Linked DNA regions of Drosophila melanogaster. The protein of the gene in region 2 interacts with the protein of the main gene of each other region in a pairwise test. Each region holds a gene or a part of one and is shown on either strand. Other genes may lie near its edges.

Region 1 (7,852 bases), on a different chromosome or scaffold from region 2:
TCTGCGGAATGGAATGAGAGATTAATGTTTGGAAATGGACGACACACAGCAGTGTCGTAGACTCGCCCACAAAGCTGTCTGCAACAGTATATTTTGAATGCGGCATGGCGATGATGGATTCATTTCCATCTGAGCAAGACTTTTCAGTAAGTAAGTGCTATATTGCCAAGTTCAAGTGTCGATTTAGTTGAGTCTATGAAAAGTTCAATCGGCCGACGAAGGAAGTTGTTTTCCACCCGACCTTTCACCTTTCACCTTTCACCATCGTTGGGGGTTGTGGCCCCTGTCAACATCCGCTGTTGCTGCCCCATTTTTGATTTATGCCGGGTCATGTGACTTGTGTTCCGGTCAAATCGGGAAAATACCTCCAATGGGGCCAATAATTGGGGGCCGGCCACTCAAAGTGGGCAAATAGAAAATCATATTCAAATAGCCGGGCTCATTTATGCGCATATTTTTGGTTTTTACCCCATATTTTCTTTTATTTTTGCACCAATTGTTGTTACTCGTCGTTCAAGATGATGATGATGATGATGGTGATGATGATGATGATGATGATGGTGGTGGTGCGGTGAGCAAGTCAAGAAATTAGTTTGCGTTGTTTTCCGTTCCGATGGCAAAAGTTTCGCCATTATCAGGCCTTTTCTCTTACATTTCCTTTTGACATAATTTGCGAGAAGCAGCAACTTTTCCGCGCCGGGAAAATGTATTGTAATGAAATGTGGAGTTCGGTTTTGAAAATCGATTGCAAAATGTCTTGCAACGAAAGTCGGAAATGCTCGTCGTCGACATTAAATCGATGTATTGGTAGATTTTCTTCGAAATATATAGCTAACCAAATAGTTATTTTTTATTATCGGCGTGGCAAACGCATTGTGGACCTTTAAATGTTAGCAATTCATTTGTATTCCTGCACGAAATCTTTAAGGCAAATGTCCGTGAATGTTTTCAGTTGGTCTGCAACACGCCCAAAGGGAATCGCAACTGCTTCGGCTCCCCAGGAACATGAATGGAAAAGAATCCGGTGTCCTTGGGGCGGCAGCAGGGAACATCATGGAGCAGGGAATCCGAGCTACTTCCATTCCCCGCAGACTGTTCGTTTGCAATTATTGTTTCCAAGTCAGTTGCTAATTGGAAATGCAAATAAATATTGTATTTCAATGGGAATTGCACGCAAACGGAGGCCGGAGTAAAGGCAACACAGAAAGGGATTTAAGTGAAATCAAGAATATATGTATATCGGAGGACCAGTTAAGATGCAGAAATCGGAAAAGGGGCGAGAAATGCCAGGCCCTTGGACTCGACACGAATCCCGAATGAGCAACCAACGTAGAGATGCAATTTATTGACGCCGACTCTTGGACGGACAGCAATTGAAATTGGTTTTCAACTGACTTTATTTTAAAGAAATTCAAGCCAAAGATAATATTTAGCAGCTCAATATTGGCGTTAAAAGTTAAGGAATATAATAGATTCGTTGAGGTAGAAGACCCCCCCCCCCCCCCCACCCATCAAATAATTTCCTGGTTAGAAGTTCTAGTTAATTTGCCTTTTGAACATGTGCGTTTGTCCGTTCGTATAAAAGCCAGAATGTTGGTAATAAACAAGCAGGTCCTAGTGACATTTACACCGCTCAACTTTCACGGTCACAATTTAGAAAAAAGCTTTCAATTATGTGTTAATTTTAATATTTATAGTTAAGAAATTCCCAGCAGGAATTATTTCAACTAATGACGGAACCTGCGCTTAGCCACTATTTATGGCAAGTTCTGAATATGAAGTGTTTGGAAATGTTACTATTCCCATTTAGAACGCTTAAATATTTAAGCCGATCAAATTACGTTCAGTGTGCTTCAGTTTGTCGTTCTAAAGATGATATTTTTCAATCAGTTTCTTGCAGTGTAGCCCCCGGGTGGATCAAGTTGTCTTCTTCCAGCGAAATTCCCAAGCCACTCGGCCGACCTGTGCTACCTGAATGGTAGCTGGCCGACCTGCGCAGCTTATGACCATAATCGGATGTTGACTGGTGCCTAACCGGGGCCACCTTTCGGTTCCGTCGGATTCCAGCTCTACTAGGCTCGACTACGGACACTCGTTGGCCTTGAGAGCTCGCCCACTGCGTCCTTGATCTTGACAATTGCGAAGCGAAATGCTATGCTAATTACCATAAAATTACAAAGGCCCCAAGTGTTGGGCGTTGGCCGTTGGCTTTGGATTATTATTATTATTATTATAATTCTCATTATCATCGAGTGCAAAATGTTATGCAAGCAAGGTAAACCCACATGCTGTCCAGAGGCCCAGCCCCCTGTTTTTGTCAATACACTAGATTTGACCAAATTTGGCAATACCACTTGGATTTGCGACGTCATCTTGCCACTTATCTAGCACCTCATTGTGGAGAAGGGATTCGCGAGTGGGCTAATTAATCGATGTACCTATGTCAATCCATGTCTATATCTATGCATTTCCGGAACAATCAGTCGTATGTCCACTTTGCATTAATGCAAAAAAAAAATAATAATAATAAATAAAACATAATAAACAACATGAGTTGTTTACAAATTGTTTACAAATATGTCGCGATCTATGTGTTCATTTAGTTTGAAATTTTTCTATTAGACAAGGCATTGCATTATGCCAATTTTCAAGTGCATTCGTGTATTGCCAATAATTTTAACACTGCAAACACTCCGCTCCTCTTGGTTCATCTCATTGTTATGTAACTCAGTAAAGAAACCTGTTTGCCCTTGATTTAATTCAAGTGGTCAAGGCTTATTTCTCGGCTTGGTTTTCACATCCACACTATGTATGTACATACATGTATGATCACTTGCATCTTTTAGCTAATTAAAATTTTAACCAGCTGATGATTGTAATTCATATATTATTAGTACATAATCAATGTTAAGATGTGCGCGTTAAGAACTAAGAGCTTTTAATTGATTCGATCATCTACTAGTACATATATCTTTAAATTGTGCATTTCTCAGATTTCCCAATTAATTAATTTATTTAATCGTGAAACGAAATACACAATCGAAGCGGATTGATTTCAACAGCTCCCAGTTGAGCGAACGACTCTTATGACACCCGGCATTTTAATCGATTTTGAGCTCTGCCACGCCTACCCCGCGGCATGTGGGCGGTAGTGGAGTGGTCAGGCACTTACCCGGATCGTTGAGGTGGCAGGCGTGGTATGGGTCGCCATTGTAGCCGGCGGGGCAGCTGCACACGGCCACGTGGTTGCGGGCCTGGAAAGAGCAAGCGGAGGTGGCGTAGAGTGCCGATGGTCAGAATGCGAGGGAATGCGCCAGAAGTTGGCCGTGGAGGAGTGTTGGCGACATAAAAGTCCCACTTACGTCACAATTGGAGCCAATGCCACAGGCACCCACGCAGGGATTAACGCAGCGATTGTCCTTGCACTGCAGGTTGTCGCGACAGTCGACGTTGTCCAGGCACTCGCCGCGATTGCAGTGGGTGAGCGGATTACCGCTGAATCCGGGCGGGCACGAGCAGACGGGCCGTCCTCCGGAGGCCTCCTGGCACACGGCGTTCACGCCGCACGGGCTACCGCTGCATCCGCTCGCGTAGGACTGCGCTGTGTGGGCGAGAGGAGAGGAGAGAGGCACAGGCGGTGAGGTGATGCACTGGTGCGCAGGTGAACTTGTGTCTCAATCTAATCTCTAATGCTACGCTACTACGAGTATGGTATGTACATACATATGTATACTATACTATACTATACTATACTATACTATATACTATACTATATATATATAGGGGTTAGGGGTTAGGGGTTAGCTACTGCAGACACATTTGGGGCGCGGGGTCAATGGTCAAGGATCAAGGGTCAAGGGTCAGGGGTCAGGGTGCTGGCGGCGGTGCTCTCCTCCTATGTACATCGTGCTGGTGCGGTAAGACTACGAATACGGATACTGATAGGCAAGCTGTGTAAATACCACGTGTGTAGACCGGATCTCTATAGACAACCCGCTGCAGGGATCGCCCATCGCCGTAGGTGTAGTAAGTGCGGTACGTGCAGTTCACGCAGCGCTTCCCCAGCTTTTTACCTGCGGCCAGTTGGGGCAAGGACGCGATGGCCACCGCCACCAGGGCCACGACCAGGAGCTGCTGCTGCAAGAGAAGGATCAGCTGCGATTAGTGCTGCTATCACTTGAATTTAAATTCAATACGATACCGATCTAAGATGAATATAATATTTGAATATATTTGAATACTAACTTGAAGTAACTCCAAATGGAGTGCATTCACTAGTTCTCATTAGTAACGAAACTAAATAAAAGACAACGGTAATACAAAGATAAATGTCATATTCTGCGTCAATCGTAGAGCCAGTCGAATGAAATGAGTTTGAACTGGATTGGGATTCATTCACTAAAGTATTCGATATGAACAAACATCTCAATCGAGAAGCGAGTATCACGCCCCCTTTGCCGGTTTATGTGTCATAATCGCATTCGAGTTCTGAAAAAGCCCAATAAACATGACTAACTCGATGATCCGCTGTTTGGTAGCAAACATTGGCTTGGACTTGGACTCTCAGTGGTCAGTGGGATTCTGGTGGCACCATGTTTGGGCTAACTGGGCATGGAGATGAGACGAGACGAGACGAGACGATCGAGATGATGATATGGCTTCGCTCTCAAGGTGGCGATCATTGTTGGCGAATGACACATGGGTGATAAACTTGTTGTCCGCTTCTTTGGAAGCTCAATTCGGGCTAAAAACAATTATTCAAATATCGGCATACAATAAGAATATGCAAATGGGGGTCGGCTGCCTTTTCGAATTACTCTGAATGACCAATATGGTAGTCCATGTTCGTATCAACTAAGTTGTCGATCATCGCGTAAATGGCACGGATGGATCCACCGAGGGAGGAAATTGGATTTTTTTCTTAAATCACACATCTTGCAGGGTGATTTATAATCTGATTACATTGCGCAAGGGAAGTGAAGTGAATCAGAGCCATATTTGTTATATTATATATGTACATACATATGTACATTTAAATAATTGCTTTTGGAAGGGCGAGAACTAAATAGTCAACTATATAATCTGTTCAATCTTGAATTAGTTAAATAAAACGTAAAACCTGTCAGAGTTTAGATTAAATTAATGCTTTCTAAATTTAAATAATGAGCAAGAAAATGTTAAGTGCTCAACATAAGTAGGTAAAAAGGTAAACAATTCAAATCTATTGGACTTTTTACTCTTCTCGTAATGGCAATTAAAATAACAAGCTATGCTAAAGTGCTAGAAACTAATTGGTTTGTGTTTTTGGCTTTGTGCACAAACAAATGAATAATGGGCTTGATGTTTACTTGGGCAGCTTAAAAAGCGTTGAGTGATTGATCATCGCCAAAAAAAACAAAAAAATGGGCAGATAAAAGGCAGATCGAAGACACTCAAAAGAATAAACCGATCGTGGGCTTCAGAAACATTACGAGTATGTGGGAATATTTCTTGGTTCATTCGATGTATTTGCAAATCCATTCACCACTATTCATCTAGCCGGAAGTAAATAGCAAATAGCAAAGTTAAGTCCTTACATTGTGAAATGAATATTTTTTTTGTCGTGTTTGCTTTAAGTACATCAATATTCCATTCACGTATCATTTACTGAATGCATATTTTATGTATTGCCTTTGTGCGTAATTTTTTCACTTAAGTTTTCGCGGTGAAGAAAATAAACAGCAAATAAATGTGCAAGTTTAAATCTATATACTTATTCGTGATTCAGATTCTTTCCTTAAATCGAACCCATTTTTATTACTTTTATAAAATTGTTTATAAATTATCCATCGTTGATAGATTGCTTCAGTTTAGATGATTTAAAAAAAAAAAAGGATATATTCCTTAACACACGTTTATATATACATATTGATTTTGGTTATTCCCACTGCAACTCACCATTTTCGGGGTTCAGTTCTTAGAAAACACTAGCACTACAGCAGATAAAGAACGTAAAATAAAAAACAAAACAAAAAGTGTCAACTGATAAATGGTTGCGATTTCCCACTTGGCACGCTTCGCTTTCAACTGAGTCGGCTTCTAGACGAGCTTGGGCTATTTATAAGGCCGCAACTCTTAACTTGGCCGAGAAACAGCTGAGCGACGTTGGCGTCATCTCTCAGCTGCTCTGCTCTGCTCTGATCTGCTCACCTTCCCTTCCCGAATTCCCCTCTACCCCGCATCCACAACCCTTCCACTTACACAGAGAAAAAACTATAGTATAGCTTGATATTAAAGATTTGTAAAGTAAATTATCTCTCCTCAGGTAGTAGCATCCAATAGTTGTTGTAATTTTAACAAAATAAAGATCGGAATTTACCAAATTCATTAGTTTTATAACTAATTTACCATTATGTCTGCATAAGTTCAACTTGCTAAACTAGAAACATTTCGAGTAACGAAAGCAGTAGATCAAATTGATGAAGTAGTTAATTTAGTTATATATATTTGTTCAGCCTGTCAGTTGGAAAACTATTTTTCCCAATGCACCAGCATTCTGTCTCATAACTCTGTTTGACAAGCTTGTTTTGCTGTTTGTTGACTTTGTATATTGTGCTGCTCGATTTTAGCTAAAATCATTTCAGTCCAAATCGCTTCTCAGACTGAGTCATTCGTACACACATACATATACATATATATACATATATTTGCCTGGGCATCGGGCTATTTATATACGCGTACTTGACGCGACTTTGCTTCGGATTGTTTTGGTCATGCCTTTGCTATGATGGCTCGATTTCTGCGTGGGCCGCTGCATCCAAGTGCCGTGGGTCGAACTTGGCTGGGCTTCCTACTAAACACGGCTCCGGATCGTAGGCAACTTGGCTGTGAACGAAGAAATTGCCCACTTGACACAATGGGCAGGTCGCTAGTACTAGGCGGTACCTGGTAATATATGTACACACATATTTCTGAAAGCATCCAAAACTAAGCGACTCTTTATCTTTGTAGGATTTAAAAGACAGTTATGTCATTTAAATTTACAAATCTATTATACTATAATTTATACCGATTCTTCAAACAGAATGTATCTTATCCGCACCGGATGCCTATTACTACTAACTGGGGGAAATATTCAATATGGTCATTTCGCTAAGGTTTTTTCTTCTTTCTATTTCTTCTTAATTGGGCATAAGATATATGTAGATAATCGCATTACAAAATTTAATTAATTTCACGAATTTACATATTTTTCAATCTGAAATATGTCGGAAATTGAGGAGAACAAAAAATCGCCCATTTCCGTTCAAATAGTAAGCGAAAAGAGAATATACATAAATGAAAGAAAATAAAATTTGAAAAAAAAAAAAAACTGAGAGGCCGTAAATATTCTTGATTAGCTTGAGGTATTCCGATTCACTCATACCACACAATAAGCCAATTGGGTATTTCATTGAACATCTTCACTAACTCACTCTACCGTTTCCTAAGTCCATTTCAATGGCATTCGAGTTTAAAATATAAGCTTAGCAAGACCGGCTCCACTTTCATTCGATATCAAAAAGAACGGATTAAGAACAAACGAATCTGCACTGGAATCGAGCCAATTAAAACGAGAATCTTGACTTCTGCTGGCTGCGTGGGCATTGGTTAGAATGAATAATAGAGATGGTTTGACCTATAGCAATAAGATAATGACCATTTGCCAATTTGCAATCGACTACCATTTTCAAATGAAATGGCATCATTGAATGGCATCGCTTAAGCTCCGCAAATCGAATCGATATGGGAATATTACAGATTAAACTGCAAATTGAAACGTACGCCAATTGGCCATAATTGAATGAGAATTCACCTGACGACCGATACGGGC
Region 2 (4,622 bases):
AGAAGCGGCAAACTGGGCAAACACTGCACGTATTTAATTCAATGCCTGGATCTTTTTTGTGACCATACCAGATGGCATATATGTATGTAGATATATGTATGTACAAAATATAGCATAGAACATGCCTCAATTGGTGGCCATTAAAATGCATAAATGCTGGACCGCTTTTTGTTCGCTCCTAGATGAGGCAGTCATAACTAAATACGTCACGACTGCAGCTCCTTTTGGCCATTTGAATTACTGTGAATGGTTTTTGGATGCAATGCCTTATTTACATGCTGCACATGTTGCAGTTCGTGTCTCCTTCATCCCTTTTTTATATCCTTGCACAAAGAGCGTCCATAAAATTGAATGGGAAGTTTGCAAAGGAAATTGTGGTTGATTTTTATGTGGGTTCTGGTCATATACATATATAGTTCCGAAAGTGGAGTATGCCATGGAGAGTTTATTTTTATTTAAAAAAAAGCGGATAGTTATCTCAAGGGGTAGTAATTTAAAGTTTAAGTACATTTGGAGAGTATCCAGAAACAGTGGCGATAAATAAATCGTTTGGCAATATTCGCATGTTAATAAACACTATTACCACAAGAAATTCAATTCCCATAGAATATTGTTAAATACTATTGAGACTCTTGTCCTTTTTTGCACGCTTAAGCGTATCCTTTGGGTCGGATAGTTAAATTTCCGGCCCATGCCCGTCTGAAAAAACGGTCCATGGTGCCATGGCCGGAGCTGCATTAAACATTTATAATTGCAAGACAACAGCCAGCCGGCAGTCAACTGATGCGATGTCTGCGATGCGTCAGTCCTATAAAAATGTAAAAGTATTCAGTGTGAAGTGGCAAAGCCCTGCTAGAAAAAGACGGCAACTGGACAGCGGAAAGAGATAGGGAGAAGGGTTGAACCTGCAGTGGATTTCCTGGTGTACTTTATTTTGGTTTTTTGTGTGCAGTTTTTGCATTTACATTTTCGTAAACCTTTGAAAGGTTCCAGGCAGGCTTAGCAACTGAATAAAACGCGGCTGTCTTAAAGTCACGTCATGTGGGTGGTTCTGTGGGGGGGGGGGTGGCTTTACCATTGGGCGGTTGAATCTGCCGAGGGGCTGTGGCAGTAATGAGGCAACTGCAAAAGCAACAGCTTCATGTGCCGTGTGTTGTGTTAATGTTGTTAGGCTTTGGCATAAACCAGCATCTTCTTTTCAGCTAATGAGAAATCTGTCTCAGTTTCCCCAGCTAGCTCTGCACCCATATATCCTTCTCGCTCTTCAAGGACGTAATAAGAGGGTACAATATAATAAGCACGGCTGAAACATTGAAGGATTTTAATTAAATAGAACCGACAGCGTTTTTGGGCCTTGATGATGGCATAGAATTTATATCCGCATTCGTACGTGGTACAAAGAGATGAAAGTAATGCTCAAGTGGATGCTGATGTTGTCTCCTAATTTCAAGGATGCATGCTGGCACAAGATGCGGCACTTAGAATAAATTAAAAAAGGAGCCAAATAAAGACTAATTACAGTGGAGCGAATATTGAGACGTATTACCATCTACAAGGTTTTTTTTAGATTCTACATTATTGGGGGCCAATGCTAAAATATGGAAACTAGTATTGATATAGTACAAAATTATATTCCAAGGCAAAATACATTTCAAAAACACATTATTGATCACAAGTCGGTTCCAATAAAGTACAACTATTAAACAGTCTAATACTGTCATAAAACCAAGCAAACCTCTTATGGGCACACAAAGCTATCAAACCCTATCACGTATGAACACAAAACCAAAGAAAATCCATTAAAACAGCTACTAAACCGATTAATTAAAATAAACGATCCGTGAATCATCTGCGGCGAAGATCTTTCGGGCAAGCCCAATTTGGTTGGACTCACCATAGAAGACCAAAGTGTAATTGACCTTTTCAACCTGTGCTGGCGCATGGCAAATGCCAGCTGTACCCCAAGATGCGAAAGGTCACACTTGGCACGGACACAGATTCAAAACAGCTTCGGTCACACTCTGAGCATGCGCAGTTGGAGCTATGGACCAAACCGGGTCAACCGCCAAAAGAGGAGGAACTATCAATTTCATGGATATTATGACAGGGAACTTTTCACTCAATCATCACTTTCATAAAGACAACACTTTCCACAGCCCCGCGGGGCGATGTCTTCTCATCAATCAAGTTTGCCGTTCAACAATGATATTTTTATACAGCTCGAGGTGAGAACACGTTTTTGGGTAGCATCTTTTTATTCATATACATAGGTATCTGAGAGTAAGCTAAACTTTTTCACACATTTGCGCGGGTCTTAAACGAGCGCGTGATATCATCTCATGAGCGCGACTTTGGCTTTACTTTCCTCTGAGCCGTTGTTTATTCTTACCTGTTAAGATGGCTGCGAGACATATAAAAACGATCCGTGACATGATTTTGCTGCTGACTTCCTTTGGCTTCGCGTATTTTTTCTACTGAGCGTGAGCGTATAAGTAATCCCGGTTTTGTTTTTTTGGGTTTCCTTATATGTGTGTATGAATTTTTTTTCTTGGTGTCACTCAGGCGTTTGGTTGCACTTGCTTTAGCTTTTCATGCATAAAATATACGGCCAAGTACGTTTTGGTGGCACTTTACGGCCGCTGAGGCTCTGGTTTATATTTTTTATGTGACGTGTGGGTGTGTGTGTGTGTTTTGGGGTGTGCAGTGTGTGTTTGGATGCTTTTTTAACTCCTCGCTATTATTTGTTATTTTCAAGGGGTATATCCGATCGGTTGGTTTGCGCTAATCGAAGATTATGCCACACTTGTAAACACACACGGTGGGCCAAATGCCAGTGGCAGCGATAGTGCTCAATGGCCGGCTAACGCACACGGACGCAGGTTTATACGATTCCGACACGAATAACGATATCAAATCCCGAAATGCCGAACCCAAAATGCCGAACGACCGATGTGCCCACGCAATCCAAGAGCGACAGAGAACGACTGATAGGAGCAACAGTTACCAAACGACTGAATCCGCTCCGTGTTTATAAAGTTGCCAACATGGGCAGCGCAGCGGCCGCGACGTCGGCGCCAGCTGCGGCAGCGACAGCGGCAGCATGCTGCGAACACCAGGCGTATGCGTTTTTACATATGCAGTCGCTGGGGTTGCATGTTGCCGCTGGATGTTGCTGGCGTTTGTCGATGTTGCGGCTGCATGTTGCTGCCGCTACATGCGCGACGAGCTAGCAGCATTGCTCGTTCTAGTTTACGCTTTACAGCGACTGTGTGTACAGGGTACTTTTAAATTACGGGGGTATATGGACTTGAACACACTACCTAAAAATAATGGTTTCAATTTATAGCAGCTGCAGTTTTTTATAATTTATTTTTACAATTATTATTTAGGTCACAGGGAATTGGGTGGGTGCTAGGAATTTATAATCTTTTAATCAACGTTTACCTAGCAAAACAGTCTTTGCAGTGTGCTCCACTAATAAATATGTATTTTGTTGCTTATAATTTAAAATGTAAAGTGAATTGTTGAAAATAACAAACTCATTAGAGCTTAGCCTGCATCTCCGGTTTTGATGACACATCTATTTAGGTGGAAAAATTTAGGTGACTAACGTGTTCTATTTTCCTTTGCGTCATAACTGGAGTTCAAATAAAGTTTCTTAGCATGGTGCTAATTTAAATATTATGAGTATGGGTTTGTACAGTATTTATTTACCTAATATCTACAAGTTAGAAGCCGTTAATAGGTCGTATTTGACCCACAAATGGATTGATTTATTCCTAATACCATTTTTTAATATCTAATGTTAAATAGATGAAAAGTACATTTAACAGTAGAATCAATGGCCCAAAGTTCCGAAAGCATGTTTTTTTTTAAACCGCGTGATAATTTGCTACGACCCAATTGGTTAAGGTTAGGCAAATCAATAAATATAAATTAGATGGACAAAGAAACATTATTTCGGATCGACATAAACATGTGTTGCAAGTAAATAGAATTTAAACGGGCACTCCATACAGTGTAATACTTTCTGCCGCCGCTGTTCTTGTTGTTTAGTTTGATTTGAATTTGTTTGGCTCTTGTGCATTGTGTTGTTGCAGCTTTCGCTCTTGTTGTTATTGCTGGTATTGTTGGTGTTGTTGTTGATTTGGCCAAGTTTGCTTTCAGGCTGTCGCCGTTGCTGCTGCAACTGCCGGATTTCTGTCTATTTGTCGTTTGATAATCTACCCCCTTGCCGGCCGCCTCCTTGGATTTCGCCGGCTTTTGTTTGCCTGTCGTGTTGTCGAATGGCACACATACAAATTCCGACCGAGAGCGAATCTTTGGCACAGTGGCTCCTCGTTCTGGTTGCCGATTCCCGTTCCCAGTTTCCCGCTCCCTCTTCCGCAAATATTCCGCTGTGTTTGCCACAGTTCCAGATCCCCAGAATCGCCCGCAATGGGACTGTGACCTGAAACCCACTTCGATTAGAATGATGTAAACGCAGGCTCGATTTATGGCGAGAACAGTAAATAGTAAGCTACGCAGTACTTAGGAAGTTTGTAATGGCTACCAAATAGAGCGATCGTACAGCTTACATAATAATTATAGAGCCTTACATATTGCTTTAACTAAATTATTGT
Region 3 (2,754 bases), on a different chromosome or scaffold from region 2:
CGTTCCTTCTGGATAAGCTCCTTCTTCATCTTCTAGCTCTTCCCCTACTGTGAGCCCCGCCTGCAGCGCCCAGCCAACTGGCAGCTGACTTGTTTACACAACACTTTGCATGTGTGTTTGTGTGTGCGGCCATTGCACATGTGTCCATGTCCATGTCCTGCAGGGGGAGTGGCAGGGGCGGTGGCGAAAGGATGGCAAAGTCAGCAAGCAAAGCTCTGGCGGCTTAATGGACGAAACGTGCTGTTGAATTAATTTCTGGCTTTATGCTCTCAATTTTTTCCTTCCGTTTTCCATTCAGCCGCCTTCGTTTTTTCTGCCAGCAGGCAGAAATATATGTACGTCTATGTATTGAATTTCAATTTTTAAGTACTTCAAACATTAAGCCCTACTAAAAACAAAATAAAGAACATTTTAAATAAAAAAAAAACCATTATAAAATTAAACGAAAATTCATAAACACTGACTGGCTTTTTACACAAAAATTAAATATATTAATAATTATGAAAACAATAATTTTTATTATAATCTACAATAGATTTGTGAGATACATTTTTGTTTGTTTGCTTACTCTGTATGAAAAATGTTCAATTTTGCTTGCTGTCTCAGCTCAAATGGGGCTGTGCATAAAGCCTACGAAATCGCGCAAGCTTATGCGACCATCGCCATCCATATCGACTGCTTGGCAGATATCCTTAATATCGTCATCGGTTACGACTTCGCCCAGGACGACCATAATGGCACGAACATCCTGGACGGTGACGTAGCCGTCGCGATCGCGGTCAATCATGTTAAAGGTCCGGCATAGACTTTTATCACTATCCACATTGGCCATTCGGGGCGCCATCATGCGTATAAATTTTTTCAAGTCCAGCCTCTCCTCGTCTCTCACAGCCACCGAATGGATGAGATCGTACAACTCTGCCTCAGTGATTTCGTAACCCACTGATATTAGAGCCAGTCGCACCTCGTTGGCTGATAATGTGCCATTCGAGTCCAGATCATACTTTTCAAAGGCATCCCTCAGTTCGTCGATATGCTCATTCGTCAGCTCATTGCCGGAAAAAGAAGGCATGGCACTAGCAAATAAAACCCTAAAGTAGTTCAGGAAAATCAGGAATACAAAAAAAAAAAGGAGAAATGGGGAAAAACCGATGTGTATGAAAACTGACAATCAACTCAACTCAACCGAACTCAAACTCTGTTCTCGATGGCTAATAAAACACTTAGGCAAGCAATTGTTGTTGTTGCGGTCACAAACTTTTCCGGAATAATAATGCATCATATACTCGTACAAGGGGCAATAAAGGGAAAAAATAAGGAAAGCAGAGATGCTGAAGCATGCAACGTTTGGAGAACCATCCATCAATTTGTCAATTCAGCGCTTGCCTTTGAGTGGCCGTCCATGGGACAGGAATGATGTTAGATGACGATGATGATGATGATGGGCAGTAGTTGTGCTGTGGAGTGCTGGCCATAAAAAATCAAGCGGGCATATAAATTGAAAGGATGCTCTTGTACTAGCTGAAAGGATTTTTTGTAATCCCTGTCCAGTTTCAAGTAATTATATTGAATAAATGCTATCATAGTTGGACTTTTAAATTTCAACCATACTGTGAAATATTTTTGAGAAAATCCTAATTAAGACTGCTGTAATTTCAGCAAATAAGAAAACATTTATTTAACCACACCTTCTGTCTAATGCTTCTACCTCCGCCTCCTCAAATCCCTACAATCGCAGGGGACGCGAAGCCACTGACTTGTCAGGGATTTCTAGGCTTAGAAATAAGTTTTCCGACAGCCCATTTGATTCATTCAACTTTGAGGCCTGCTCTTGTTGCGTTCATTCCCCCAAAGACTTTGAGCCGGATGATAAGCAAATGAAATGTTGTCGCCGTCCCACATGACGAATGATTAATGACACGAATGATACATTTCTCCCGGGGGCAAAAACCACGCGCCACGGCCAGTCAAAAGTTTAAACCCAACTTTAACCATGGCAGGCACTTTTTCACTCGGTGTCACGGTGCCTGGCTGCAAATTTCGCTAGTCAGAGCTTAGTGGGGGATACTGTTTGCAAAGTGACTGAGTCCGGAGTCTTCTTCTGCTACATTAGCCTACTTCCTCCGCTCCACAAGCAACAGCCCACTCAGGATTCCTCTGATGCTGCAACAACTTGTGCTTGTGTATTTGCTTAAGCCGAGCTCGCTTTCCTGTTTCCTTCCGCTGCCTTTCCACTTTTCCACATTCCCACCGCTTCCATGAAAAGGGGGTGGGGGCGCAATGGCGAAGGGGCGCTGGGGCGGGGTCTCAGGAAAATTGATTTTGAAATAGTTGGTCTGCCTTTTTAAATTTGATTGACGTTATTACATTACATAACATCGCACACTAAGAGGAAAGGCGAAGCAGCTGGCTTAAGTTATTCATCCATTTAGCCCCACTTAGGGGCGGGGGATGGTGGTGGTTGGCAGCTAGGGGCGGCGGGTGATTGTGACGGGCAACAACAAGTGGAAAACTGTCATTATATTTGAGTTATTGATGGTTTTTTTTTTTCAAAATCATTTTGCAACAATGTTGCTGCTACCCAACCGCACCGACACACTCACACACACACCAACACACTTTAGTCACACGCTGACAGGATCTACTCCCCCTCAACCGCCACCCCCTTACCCTTCCGCACACACACACACACACTGTTACATTTACGCTTAGTTAAACGCATGGCTGTGGCTTGTTAACGCCGACAAGCGCAAA
Region 4 (4,116 bases), on a different chromosome or scaffold from region 2:
AACTATTATGTTGCTCTTTATTATCGTTGGCGTTTTGTTGAGCATCAAAATTACTCTTCGTCTTGCTATCTAGTGTACTCGCATCCTGCCCTGGGTTGGGGCTGCAATCATTCAAAGGACTCTCCTCCAGGACCAGAACATTGGTCTCGTTCGAGGATCGACAAACTCTGTAATTGGGCTTGTCGATTTCCGGGAACACAGCTCGCTCATCATTTTCGGTCAGATCGGACTCTTGAACGCAAATCTCTGGAGGCGGCGCCATGGGACGTTGCTTCGCCGGAGAGCAGCACCCATCTTCATAGTCATTATTCCGGGTGCCGTTCATAAGCAGCACGTTGATTGCATTTGAAGTTCTTCTCTCGCCGCCGCCACAAGTAAAGTTATTCGAATTATTGGTGTATCCGCCAGATAAACCTGTCGCTGAGCTTCCAGTTTGATGGCTGAACGAGCCGGTCATCTTGGTTCGCCTAACAGGCGAAGAGCTCTGAGTCTGCAGCGTCACCGTTGAGCACTGCACTTCCTGATCCTTCAATTGCTGGGTGATGCACGTCTGGCAGCATTCGCTCTTCAGCTCCGGCTTTTTCTTCGTATTCTGCTGGTTCATCGAACTTTTAATTTTGTTGTTACCTCGTGAAGTTGGCGATACCGGGTAGTTCGGGCTACTGCGGAAATCATCTGCTACAGTTTTTATGTCCGTTGTCCTGAAAGCTGGACAAGTGAGACGTTCACAGGAACTCTGTTTTTTTGGGCTGCCTTTGGAATTATCCTTTCTTTCTTTATACTCTTTATTTATACTTTGTTGGCTGCCTGAATCCTCTTCTAGAGGGGCTACCGCTTTTTTGATCCCTTGCACTGGACAGAAACTACAGGTGCATCCATCACAGGTGCAGTTTACAGCTCCAAAGGTCGGTTTATTTACCCTTGGGCTTAATTTCATAGGTGGATTATTTTTGTTCTCTAAGTTTGTGGCCCTTGTTTGTGGATTGGGATACTTCTGTCCCATTTGGGTGTATGTATTGCCCTGGAACATGCTGTTGCAGGTGTTTCGAAAACGACAGCAACCATTCGTACATCTGTTCGCGCTGCTGAATTCCTGCCTCTCCGAGCCGAGACTCTGTTTGCTTTGGTTCTGGATCCGCTCGTTAGTCTTTTTGCTGATGGAATAGCCATGGCCAGCGTCCGATGCCGAAGAGCTCCACCTGCTCCATTCCTGCAGGCCAGCTTGAGTCCTTGCCCTGCCAGCAGCACGAGACGAGCTCTCCGATTCCGAACCTGATCCGTGGCCATCCAAATGGGAGGCGCAAACGCATCCGTGCCGGCATAGCGATTCGGGGTCGACGTCAAAACTGCTGAGGTTGGCCAAGTTCTGCCACCGGCGAGCCTCCGACATGTTGCGCGGGTAGACGCACTGCTCGCCCGGCTCCTGGCCACAGATTATACAACGACGATGCATTTTCCAACGGACAACCAGGACGGAAACGGTAAAATTTTGAATTTTAACTACAGGAGCATTTGTCGAAGTGCAAAACTATAATTGGAGAGGGTGCCTACCTTCTTTTATTGAAATTCTTAATGGTGGTGGTTGGTAAAAGAATAGTTCTAGATTTAAATGTTTAAATAAAATTAAAAAAAAAAAAAACCGTTTAAATGAGTGTGATCTGAAAGGCGCACTGCTGAAATGCCTTACTTTTCTGTGGCCCCCCCATTGTAAGGCGTTTTGGTATTTCGCACGAAAGCAGCTGCACACACTTCGCAACTGTTTAGTTTAAAAATAGTAAATGCAACGAACTTTTGTGTGTTTTACTGGCCCCCTTCTTGATGACACAGTCTGGCAGTTGATACAATGAGCTTGCCAACCGACGGTCTAAACATGGAGATCACCCCAAGCCCCACCCTGGCTGCCACGAGTCGCGGCGACTTGGAAAAAGTGCTGGCTATGCTGGTCCTCGGACTCGGGAGTCTTTTGTTCGGATTGCTGCCCGCCTTTATATCGGAACGGAATCGTCGCCGCTTCCCGCTGACCGCATCCCTGCTCCTGTGCTTCGGAGCGGGCATTCTGCTAGCCACCGCACTGGTGCACATTCTGCCCGAGGTAAGAGCTTGGACTGCGATCGTGTGTGTGGCTGCAATTTGATAACCTGCTGACTTACGCATGCAACAGGTGCGCGAACAAATGGACTCGAAATTCGCTGAGGTTGCCATGTGCGGCGGGTTCTTCATCATCTACTTTATCGACGAGTTCATACACTACTTCTTTGGCGAGGCCATTCAGCACACTCATGCCCACGATGCAGAGACTCCAGCAACCGAGCCACCAAGACGTCCCACTAATGACAATGGTTATGGCGCAGTGGACGAACGAGCGCCCCTTTTATCAGCGGAACCCAATACGTCACATGGGCATTCGCACCATCATAGCCAGTAGGTTTATTGCATTTCCCTTCCCGCAGCCAAAACTAATTGCTTTGTGCTTCGATTACGCAGCGATCATGACCACAATCACCCGGCCAGCGCATCTGGCTGTAATGATGCCAGTGTAGAGGACGCCAACGCCCGCATCTGCCACACCAGCCACACGGAACCCTGCGCCCAATCCATGACAGGCACTCTGGGTCTCTTTGTCGCCCTGTCACTGCACTCGGCCATCGAAGGACTCGCCATCGGCGTTCAGAACTCTTCCACAAAGGTCTGTGCCGCCTGCCTTGACATAGTTAGACTAGATCGGCTATAGTGCGCAATCTTAGGCAAATATTGAAGCAAAGAGATGCGAGGGCTTAGTCCAATTAGATAACCGGAATCTGCTTTGTCTCGTCGTAGGTTCTGTTTCTTCTAGGGGCCGTCGCCTGCCACAAGTTCGTGATGGGCTTTTGTCTGGGGCTCGAGTTCCGCTCGAATCCGCAGACGAGTTTTCGCGCCCAGTTCGTCGGCATTTCGGTGTTTGCCCTGGGCGCCGTCATTGGCATTGGCCTGGGCATGCTTATCGTGGACGTGCCCGCCGCTTGGTCCAGCAAAACTCTGCCTATCGTCCAAGCTCTGGCCGGAGGCACACTCTTCTACGTCACCGTCTGCGAGGTGATACCGCGCGAGAAGGCGCGCTGGCACTCGAACTCAACGCGACGCTGGGCGGGATTTGCACAGTTTGCAACTGTGCTCGCCGGCTTTGCGACCATGTGCATCATAAACTTTTATCTTTCTGGTGCGTAGCATTATGTGATTTGCATTTCCCTTTCGACATTGCTGACCTATTTTCTTCGCGCCTTTTCAGATGAGGATTAGACATCTTTTCGTTGAGAAATCGTTTCAGCGCTGTGAGAAAATGTGCCGCTTTTTAAACTTAGAACACTTAGGATAATATTATGGATTGGCAGCTGTTAATCTCTTGTGTAAGACTTGTTACTTGTGCATTTCCAACTAATCTTGTTTTAGGTACATTGTCGATCTGCCGTAGGATAAGTAAAAAGTTCAGTCTTCTCGTCTACATTTATATTTTCTCTTTCTCCAAAGTTTGTGTTATTTTTTATGCTTTTATTATATGTAATAAACCTTACAATTAAGTTGTTAATCAAAAAAAGGGCATCCTCTTTTCCTTTTGATTAATCTTACTTAGCCAACCATTAAACGCAATCATTTTATTACTTTCTGGGGACATCATGTCACTGTTTTAAACGAATTAAAACAACATCTATGTAACTACATCTCTATATGTATGTAAATAGGCATATGTGTATATATATATATAGTGTTTACCTAATCGTGAAATGTTGCTTGGTTGCTCTATTGGTGGTGTATGTGTGAAGAAACGGACACTCATAAATAGCTAAATGTTGGGTTGTTTGGTCTCTGATCTCTCATTTAAGGTCATTTGGGGAACTCCTCTTAGATTTACGATTTTCATGCTAGCAGGGCAACATACTTGGGATGGGAGGGGATTTACAATTACGTGAGATGAGTAGATTAGATCTTATACACTTAAACCAGTGCATATGCATATCTTATCATTCACCTTGATCTTCATTAACAATTTAATTTACAATAGAAACCGAAAATTCGCGCCGAGCTCAGGTGCGTTTATCTGCTGACCTGCGTTGAATCGCCAAACTTAGAACATAAATAAAT

What was found.
Region 1: the proteins of Fas3 (region 2) and aspr interact in a two-hybrid assay, tested with the Drosophila melanogaster proteins (one large-scale study listed by BioGRID).
Region 3: the proteins of Fas3 (region 2) and CG13526 interact in a two-hybrid assay, tested with the Drosophila melanogaster proteins (one large-scale study listed by BioGRID).
Region 4: the proteins of Fas3 (region 2) and Zip88E interact in a two-hybrid assay, tested with the Drosophila melanogaster proteins (one large-scale study listed by BioGRID).

Annotation. Positions count from the first base shown.
Region 1 is NC_004354.4:20,146,347-20,154,198, reverse strand, and holds the start of aspr (asperous), read right to left. Parts: upstream 6,076-7,852; 5' UTR 5,941-6,075; coding exon 5,938-5,940; intron 4,138-5,937; coding exon 3,963-4,137; intron 3,602-3,962; coding exon 3,363-3,601; intron 3,255-3,362; coding exon 3,173-3,254; intron 2-3,172; coding exon 1-1.
Region 2 is NT_033779.5:18,318,498-18,323,119, reverse strand, and holds the start of Fas3 (fasciclin 3), read right to left. Parts: upstream 3,019-4,622; 5' UTR 2,433-3,018; coding exon 2,390-2,432; intron 1-2,389. UniProt on the Drosophila melanogaster protein: Mediates cell adhesion in a Ca(2+)-independent manner. It plays a role in axon outgrowth, guidance and fasciculation of the developing nervous system. Function in neurons is essential for adult survival, and is important for climbing behavior and activity.
Region 3 is NT_033778.4:22,753,643-22,756,396, reverse strand, and holds CG13526 (uncharacterized protein), read right to left. Parts: upstream 1,179-2,754; 5' UTR 1,073-1,178; coding exon 608-1,072; 3' UTR 501-607; downstream 1-500.
Region 4 is NT_033777.3:15,266,920-15,271,035, forward strand, and holds Zip88E (Zinc/iron regulated transporter-related protein 88E), read left to right. Parts: upstream 1-1,742; 5' UTR 1,743-1,843; coding exon 1,844-2,092; intron 2,093-2,161; coding exon 2,162-2,421; intron 2,422-2,484; coding exon 2,485-2,686; intron 2,687-2,817; coding exon 2,818-3,196; intron 3,197-3,265; coding exon 3,266-3,276; 3' UTR 3,277-3,613; downstream 3,614-4,116. Other genes in the region: CG14864 (uncharacterized protein), read right to left, coding at 1-1,453.